2 linked regions of the Arabidopsis thaliana genome follow. The protein of the gene in region 1 interacts with the protein of each later gene in a pairwise test. Each region holds a gene or a part of one and is shown on either strand. Other genes may lie near its edges.

Evidence for each region.
Region 2: the proteins of PYL1 (region 1) and C2 interact in a protein complementation assay, tested with the Arabidopsis thaliana proteins (one study listed by BioGRID).

Annotation. Positions count from the first base shown.
Region 1 is NC_003076.8:18,982,872-18,986,715, reverse strand, and holds PYL1 (PYR1-like 1), read left to right. Parts: upstream 1-1,798; 5' UTR 1,799-1,987; coding exon 1,988-2,653; 3' UTR 2,654-3,176; downstream 3,177-3,844. UniProt on the Arabidopsis thaliana protein: Receptor for abscisic acid (ABA) required for ABA-mediated responses such as stomatal closure and germination inhibition. Inhibits the activity of group-A protein phosphatases type 2C (PP2Cs) when activated by ABA. Can be activated by both (-)-ABA and (+)-ABA.
Region 2 is NC_003074.8:6,149,912-6,154,490, forward strand, and holds C2 (Calcium-dependent lipid-binding (CaLB domain) family protein), read left to right. Parts: upstream 1-2,150; 5' UTR 2,151-2,360; intron 2,361-2,437; 5' UTR 2,438-2,505; coding exon 2,506-2,652; intron 2,653-2,736; coding exon 2,737-2,832; intron 2,833-2,913; coding exon 2,914-3,204; 3' UTR 3,205-3,903; downstream 3,904-4,579. Other genes in the region: TOC64-III (translocon at the outer membrane of chloroplasts 64-III), read left to right, coding at 1-131, 215-359, 439-607, 712-846, 990-1,190, 1,292-1,419, 1,506-1,557, 1,659-1,728 and 1 more. UniProt on the Arabidopsis thaliana protein: Mediates the transient calcium-dependent interaction of PYR/PYL/RCAR abscisic acid (ABA) receptors with the plasma membrane and thus regulates ABA sensitivity. Stimulates the GTPase/ATPase activities of YchF1, and regulates its subcellular localization.

The sequences.
Region 1 (3,844 bases):
AAGACAAAAGAAATATATGCTCTGCTTATCGAAACTCCAAAGCAATGTAGCCAAAATCTACTATATAATGATAAAAAAAAAATCTGTTGTTATACTAAATTTTAGGCTGGACTATTAAAGCAACCACTCTCCAAAAAAATGCAAATGTGTGGATGTAGAGATATGTATCACTCACTGTATATTCCACTACTCTTTTTTTTTTTAATCAATGTACATTCCATTATAACATGGTGAGTGGATTCTTGAAAATATTATATTTGAAAATTCTTTCAAGCCTTTTAGAATAAAAAAATTCGCAATGATCAGAATCAATATTATTCCACCAAATGGACTTTTTGATACTTTTATTATCTCTATAATGCTAAAGAATATATATAGCAATCTATCTATTCATAAATATATTAATTATTTTCTAACTTTAACTTTAGGAAAATTTAATCATACCAGTTTGAGAGCACTATTGTCCTTTTCATTTAAAATTTTGAAAAAATTAATTTAGCGTAATGATAAAATTTTATAGAAAAATCGTTTAGGTATAGTGTTTAGCAATATAATTTTACACTCTGGATATTTAACTAAATCATTGTTATAATCATCAAATTTGATATACAAGTGCAATGTGCAAGTATATACTTGACATAAAAATTAAATGTCTACAAGACGCCAAAAAAAACAGCTGGAGACTACTTTTTATGATTTATAACTTGTACCTACCGTATCTCTTGGATTCTACTTCTTACGTACCCAATTATATCTTTGTAACAAAAAATAAACTATTTACTGTAATGATTTTTTATATTTTTTTTTGGACAAAAGTATAATGATTTATAGGCTGTGAATGGTGACCAAAACCGCACTTAAAACCGTATCGCAACAGTGCTGATTTTCATTACTATTTGAACCGCACCGCACTTTTTGCGTACCGCAAAACGCAGTCACCATTCACAGCCATAATATTAAAAATAATTTTAATAGAAAAAACAAAAGTCAAGGTGATAAGAGAAAAAAGTAATTTGCCCATTTCGGTTGCAGATAAATAAACATGGCCAAAACTAGTAAGTATATGACACGGAGGCTTCATGCTCAGTTGCTCACATTTAATTATCACTTGATAAAAATTCTCTAGTACAAGTAAAATGTTTTAATCTTTACAAGTATATTTTTTTTATGTAACTGAAAATTGTTTTAATCTTTACAATTATTTAGTTTCGAGAGAAATTGGGAGTTATAGATTAAGATAAGTAATATAGGTATAGGCTTATAATAGCTTCACGAACAAAGGCTAATGGCTAACCTTTAAATGCATTCGAATAAATAATGATTCTATATTTGAGCATCTAATCAAAATTTCTACGGTTGCCAACAAAAAAATAATTCAACTCCCGTAAATAATTTTTTATTTTATAATTTAATTGCATTTCTATTACGAGTTGACCAATTTCATTTGTAATATATTTACCAAAGTGATGATTAATATAAAATAGTAGGAATTCATGAAGAATATGATAAAATGAGTTATTCTAATTTTAACTATATAGTTTAACTCGTTCAAGATATTTTTAATTAGTATCATATATATATAATTTTAACTATATAGTTTATACATTTCAATCAGAATATAGATGGATGAATAATATGATAAGTCTAACTAAACTGTGTGTTATTGTTCATTAAATTAAATCAGATTTTTCGAATTCAGCAAAATAATTCCATCTATTATAATGAACGGATATATATTTTTTTTGTAGTATTATTTTAGAATCTACAAAAATATTACGTAAATTTGTAATAGTTACTAATTTTGATGTACGTGTCTACAAATATAGTAATTATCAACTAAAAGTAGAAAGATTCAGTGCCTAATGACATTTATGTGATAGCCATTAAAAAAAACTCAAGTCTATTAAATTCCAAATATACCCTTCTTCTCTTTCTTCTTCCTTCAAATTTTCAACTTCTCTCTTTCAAGTTTCAACAAACAATATCAATGGCGAATTCAGAGTCCTCCTCCTCACCAGTAAACGAAGAAGAGAACAGCCAGAGAATCTCAACACTCCATCACCAAACCATGCCTTCCGATTTAACTCAAGACGAATTCACCCAACTCTCCCAATCAATCGCCGAGTTCCACACGTACCAACTCGGTAACGGCCGTTGCTCATCTCTCCTAGCTCAGCGAATCCACGCGCCGCCGGAAACAGTATGGTCCGTGGTGAGACGTTTCGATAGGCCACAGATTTACAAACACTTCATCAAAAGCTGTAACGTGAGTGAAGATTTCGAGATGCGAGTGGGATGCACGCGCGACGTGAACGTGATAAGTGGATTACCGGCGAATACGTCTCGAGAGAGATTAGATCTGTTGGACGATGATCGGAGAGTGACTGGGTTTAGTATAACCGGTGGTGAACATAGGCTGAGGAATTATAAATCGGTTACGACGGTTCATAGATTTGAGAAAGAAGAAGAAGAAGAAAGGATCTGGACCGTTGTTTTGGAATCTTATGTTGTTGATGTACCGGAAGGTAATTCGGAGGAAGATACGAGATTGTTTGCTGATACGGTTATTAGATTGAATCTTCAGAAACTTGCTTCGATCACTGAAGCTATGAACCGGAACAACAACAACAACAACTCTTCTCAGGTTAGGTAATGATGAAATTTGGGGGAAAGAAAAATGTTTCTAAATTGGGGGAGTTTTAATTTTTATTTTGATTTGTAAAACGTTTTTTTTCTTCTCTTGAATTGTAATTTCCTTGTTTGATTTTATGGTTATGTTTTATTTTTTAAAAAAAATCAGTCTCCTGGATAATTGGAATGGTCGAGATAGGTTAAATTTAATAACATACTTGTTATATCATAGAATTAGGAATGATAACATACTAATTATAGTAGTTCGTTTATTCAATTGGTTGACAAGATAAATTATACAGGAATGATAACATACTAATTATAGTAGTTAGTTTTCTTTAACTGTTGTGTAGATTGTACTATTTTGTAGGTTATTAGTATTCTTGTTTTATTCAATTTTTGTATTTGAAATGATATATGCATGGAATAGATTTCTAGGTCAGATGGAAAAATAATGATATTTTTTTTGTTCTTCGATACATATTTATTTATAGCGTATGTTTTAATATAGTGTTGTGTGTAGTAACTTTTCATAATAAAACGAATAAAAGCTTAATGTCTGAAAATTGGCAGTATTTATAAGTCAATTTTGGCAATTCGTAAATTCGCAAAATTATTTGTTTTCTAGCGTTAATGACAAAAAAAAAAACCTAAAAAAAAAAACCGTTGCATTAGTTTTTTTTTTGTTCAATAATTTTTTTTATTTTTTTATTTACAATTTCGTTGTAAAATTTAATTTTTGTATTTTTGTGCTAATTTTGCTTAAGTTTTCGCGCTCCAGTAACATTATTACGTTCAAAAACTAATTACTGTTGAAGGGGAAAGGGCTTTGAACGACGAAAAAGCCCATTATAATTTGAACTCTTTTATTTTTCATTTTAAAATTTGGAGAGAGCTCACCATTTTTTACATCTAATTATGATCCTCCTTTTTTTTTCTTTTTTTTTTTGTCAATACACCTAATTATAATTATGTTATGGTCATCGCTTTGTCTGATGAGCCTGAGTGGCTAAGTGCCTGACCAACAAAAATAAACTGTACTCGATTTCTTTTTCCCGATTATTAGAGACTCCAGAATTGGATGATCCATCTTTTTTTTTTTTGATCAAAAAGATTGGATGATCCATCATGAGACAACACTGAAATACTTTTGTTACATAAAATCTATTTTCTCAAATATGGTTGGACGACGACAAATTATGGGAGCCACTCC
Region 2 (4,579 bases), on another chromosome or scaffold:
GCAACTTCCATTTGCCACTCAACGGAATCCAAGGCAAATCATACTAGCTGATGACTGTTTTCAGCTGTTAAAGATCCCTGTGGATCGGATTACCCAGGTGGTGACCAAATCAGCTGAAAAGCTTTTTGGAAGTATGCCCTTTACTCTCCCTGAAGATCCTCCAGTCTCTGTTAGAAATTCTGATTATAATAGCATTATCTTGTTTTATATTTAGGACAATTGCTAAAGCATCAGAACTTGGAGACCTATTTTGAAACTAAAGTTCCTAGCTTGAAAGAGTTCGCTAGGACAAAAGCCATTGCTAACACGAAGGTCTCAACATCGAGACTACTGGCGAATGTGATGCAGCTCCTTCAAAGGTGTGCCTATTGTTTATTCACCTACAGAGGATGAAAATATCTTAGTTTTGAACACTCTATAACAATATTGGCATTGTAGGCACGAGTTCCTTCAAAATCATGGGGATTGGATCAACACAGTGAAGCCAGCCATTGATCCTGTGATTTTATCACAAGTGTGTGAGAACCCAGAACTAACCAATGAAGAGACTGAGAACCTGAATGCTATCAGAAACGAGACTCGAGTGGCTATTGGTTCACTTCTCAAGGTATTCCTGCTCTTCCATGACATGTCCACAACTTGAGCGAGTTAGTTTATATGTCTCTTGACTAATCTCTAATGGTTCCCAACTCTGTAACGTTATGTATCAAGGATGATGGCATTCTGGTAATTCCAACATTGCCAGCTGTTCCTCCAAAACTTGGTAGCAAGGAGATAACATCTGAAGACTATCAAAACCGAGCTTCAAGTCTGCTTAGCATTGCTAGCATATCAGGATGTTGTCAGGTTAAATCTCTCTCTTTCTCTCTCTCACCTGCCATGCTAGTAAAGTTCCCCTCACACATGTTAAAAGCAACCACTGACCAGTCAGTGTTAGCAAAACCAATCCACAGTATATGTGTCTTACATTTATCGTGCTGATGATTCAGGTGACTGTGCCACTCGGACATCATGAGAAATGCCCTATTTCAGTTTCTTTCATAGGAAGACACGGTGGTGACCGCTTTTTACTAGATACAGTGCAGACAATGTATCCATCTTTGCAAGAGTACTCGAGTATTGTTACCGATCCCAAATCTTCTAAAAAGGCTATCACCAAAGAAGAGTCAGCCGAGATTGCCAAAGAGAAGGTCAATTAATATCCATTGCATGTCTCATTTTCTTAATGGCATTATCATCCATAATCTAATGTGGTTATTATATCTTTGTGTCCCGTGATTATGTAAACCAGGGTAACCAAGCGTTCAAAGAGAAACTATGGCAGAAAGCTATTGGTCTATACTCAGAAGCTATAAAGCTAAGTGACAACAATGCTACCTATTACAGTAACAGAGCTGCTGCATATCTTGAACTTGGAGGGTAAATGTTTCTCAGATCCTTAAAAATACTTTTTAGTGAGCAAATCTTTCTATGTGGCATTGCCTTGACAAATCATTTACATACAGCTTTCTTCAAGCCGAAGAAGACTGTACCAAAGCCATCACCCTCGACAAGAAGGTAACTTTCATTAAAACACAGAAACAGGTTTCTCTTGAAAAAAAAACACTCTTTACTTTGTAAGAACACACAACACAAAGATCGTTTTTGATTTCTTTCAGAATGTTAAAGCCTATTTACGAAGAGGAACCGCAAGAGAAATGTTAGGCGATTGCAAGGGAGCCATAGAAGGTAAGCTTTAAAGAACATAATCTGATTGTTTTTTCGCCTTGTAGAATCTGGCAGAATATAACATAAACTCTGCAGATTTCAGATACGCACTTGTGCTGGAACCAAACAACAAACGAGCGTCTCTCTCAGCAGAGAGACTGAGAAAATTCCAGTGAGCTTCTTTTGTCCGTACCTCACCGATCATTGAGAAAACGTTTGTTCCTTAGAATTTGTCCAAGAGTATAGGCCAATTTTGTCAACACTTGTCTTTTGCGTCTGATATTTAGGCATTTTATCTAGAGATACCTTTTGCAAGTCCGCCGAGAATGGAAAATTATAATATCCGATGTTTATTTTAAACGTTCTCTAAAATTGGATATCAAAAAGTAATGTTAATCTTAAACACCGGATACCGGCATTCCCGGTCGACTTCTAGTCAGCGTAGCGTCAAAAATAAGGTCATGTCTTTAACTATCTTGTCTTTATCATTTTCTTTTCTCGCACGTTATCTCCTCCCCACGACTCAAAAAAAATAAACAGAAAAAAAGAGGAGTAGAAACCAAAGAGACCTGCCCTAATATTTAGCGATGATAGTTTGAACGGAACGAAATCTGACGAAAGAAACTAAAGAGACCTTTGAATTATCTTCACGGGTGAGTTGGTTCGTTTAACCTTTTTTCTTTATCTCGGTTGTGCTTTTCCCCGAGAATTAAACGTGTGTTGGTTGCAGCGTTAACAAAAAAAAAGGGTTGTAGAAAGTGAGTAAGGAAGAAATAATCAGGAACATTAATAAAGGAAATGACAACGGCGTGTCCGGCGAGGACAAGCTCACTAATGGACGATCTCTTGGGCCTCCTTAGAATCCGTATCAAACGTGGCGTCAATTTAGCCGTCCGTGACATCAGTAGCAGCGATCCTTACGTCGTCGTCAAGATGGGCAAACAGGTTAATCCATTCATCATTTTACAACTTCACATGCAATTTCATTACATCAAAAACATTCTCAAATTATCATATTAAATCTTACAGAAATTGAAGACTCGTGTCATTAACAAAGATGTTAATCCAGAATGGAATGAAGATTTGACTCTCTCCGTCACAGACTCCAATCTTACCGTCCTCTTGGTACTTTTTACTTACTAAAACATACATTAATTTCCTTATCATAAGATGTTTATATTGATAAAACTATAATGTTATATGTAGACGGTGTATGATCACGACATGTTTAGCAAAGACGACAAGATGGGCGATGCTGAGTTCGAGATAAAGCCCTATATTGAGGCTTTGAGGATGCAACTCGATGGACTTCCTAGTGGAACCATTGTGACCACGGTTAAGCCAAGTCGTCGTAACTGTCTAGCCGAGGAGTCACGTGTCACCTGGGTCGACGGCAAGCTCGTCCAGGATCTCGTTCTCAGATTGCGACATGTGGAATGCGGAGAGGTCGAGGCTCAGCTTCAATGGATTGACCTCCCTGGCTCCAAGGGTCTATGAATCTTTTTTCTTTTCTTATTTACCGTTACTTTGAGTTGTTTTCTTTCAAATTGAACTAAACCAAGTAACAGCATGGAAAAAAACAAGTAATTTCAATCTTGAAGGATATAGTGAACTAGAAACACGTATTAATCCATGGAAATATAAGGATTAAGAACGTTGAGGGAAGTTTTGTTCCCATATGGTGATCGAGTCCAAGTCGAGTCGTGGTGGTGGATATGTAAATGTGGTGTATTGTTGATGTGTATGTATATTTGGGCTAGCTATGCCTTAAATAAGGCATTTACACGAACAACTAATACAGATATTTTATTTATTTAATTATCGTTCCATATACTTATGAATGGTAGATTGTTTTAACACATGTGATGTACTAATGTTTATAGGTAAAAAGTGAAAAAAAGACCAGCATATTACCATTTACCATCGACATCGATAGGCCTTTTTTAAACCATTGACATTGGAGGTTTTATGTGTACGTTACTGAAGCACAACTTATGTAATTTTTGTGAACAAGATTTACTTGTACATTAGCGCTAATTAAGGTCATAAAGAATAATGATGAAGAAAGAATAAAATATCGAAGGGAAAAAGCCAGAAGCCACAAAAGGGATGGTAGGTGAAGAGAATCCAGATGTACACTAATGAGTGAAGCACCATGGTTTTATAACGACAAAACACGTGAGCCATAATTGTCCTTTACTATGAGTGGCACGGCGACTTTACAATAATGTGTCAAACGACCGTGACAAGAGTGAAGTGTAGTACTAGTATGTGATATTTTTCTCTATTTAATAAAGTAAAAGATTCGACTGTAGTATGATAGTATTGAGATATATTCTAAATTATGTATAAAGTTTGATAGATCCCAAGGGACCCAAATCTCGTTCCCCAATGAGCGATCTAGAGATTCCTCTTCCACCAACTCCCCAAAGTAGTCAACATTTTTTTACCAAAACAACGATTTATTTGTAGAATAAAATCTGTCAACATATATATTGCATATAAATGCAATTGCAAATGTAGTTAAAAATATATATAAACCATAACTTAAAATGAGTGACAGCACAACATTAACTAAAATACGCTTATTATTATTACCGGTTTTGACCAAAACAAAAAAAATGGAGATATTTGTTTAATTACCGACTGATTTGATTTTACAGTCTGTAAAAAAGGCCGAAGTCGAAGGTAACGCCACCGTTTTCCACCTATAAAAAAGGGCGCGCAGGCAACATCACACTCTCACACTCTTTTCGCTCTCAGATCTGAAACCTTATCTGAATTACATTTCCCCGATTCGACGTTGTGCGAATTGATGCAGCAGAGAGGACGATCCGTCAACCGCAGATCACGAAGCTTCTCTAGATCCAGA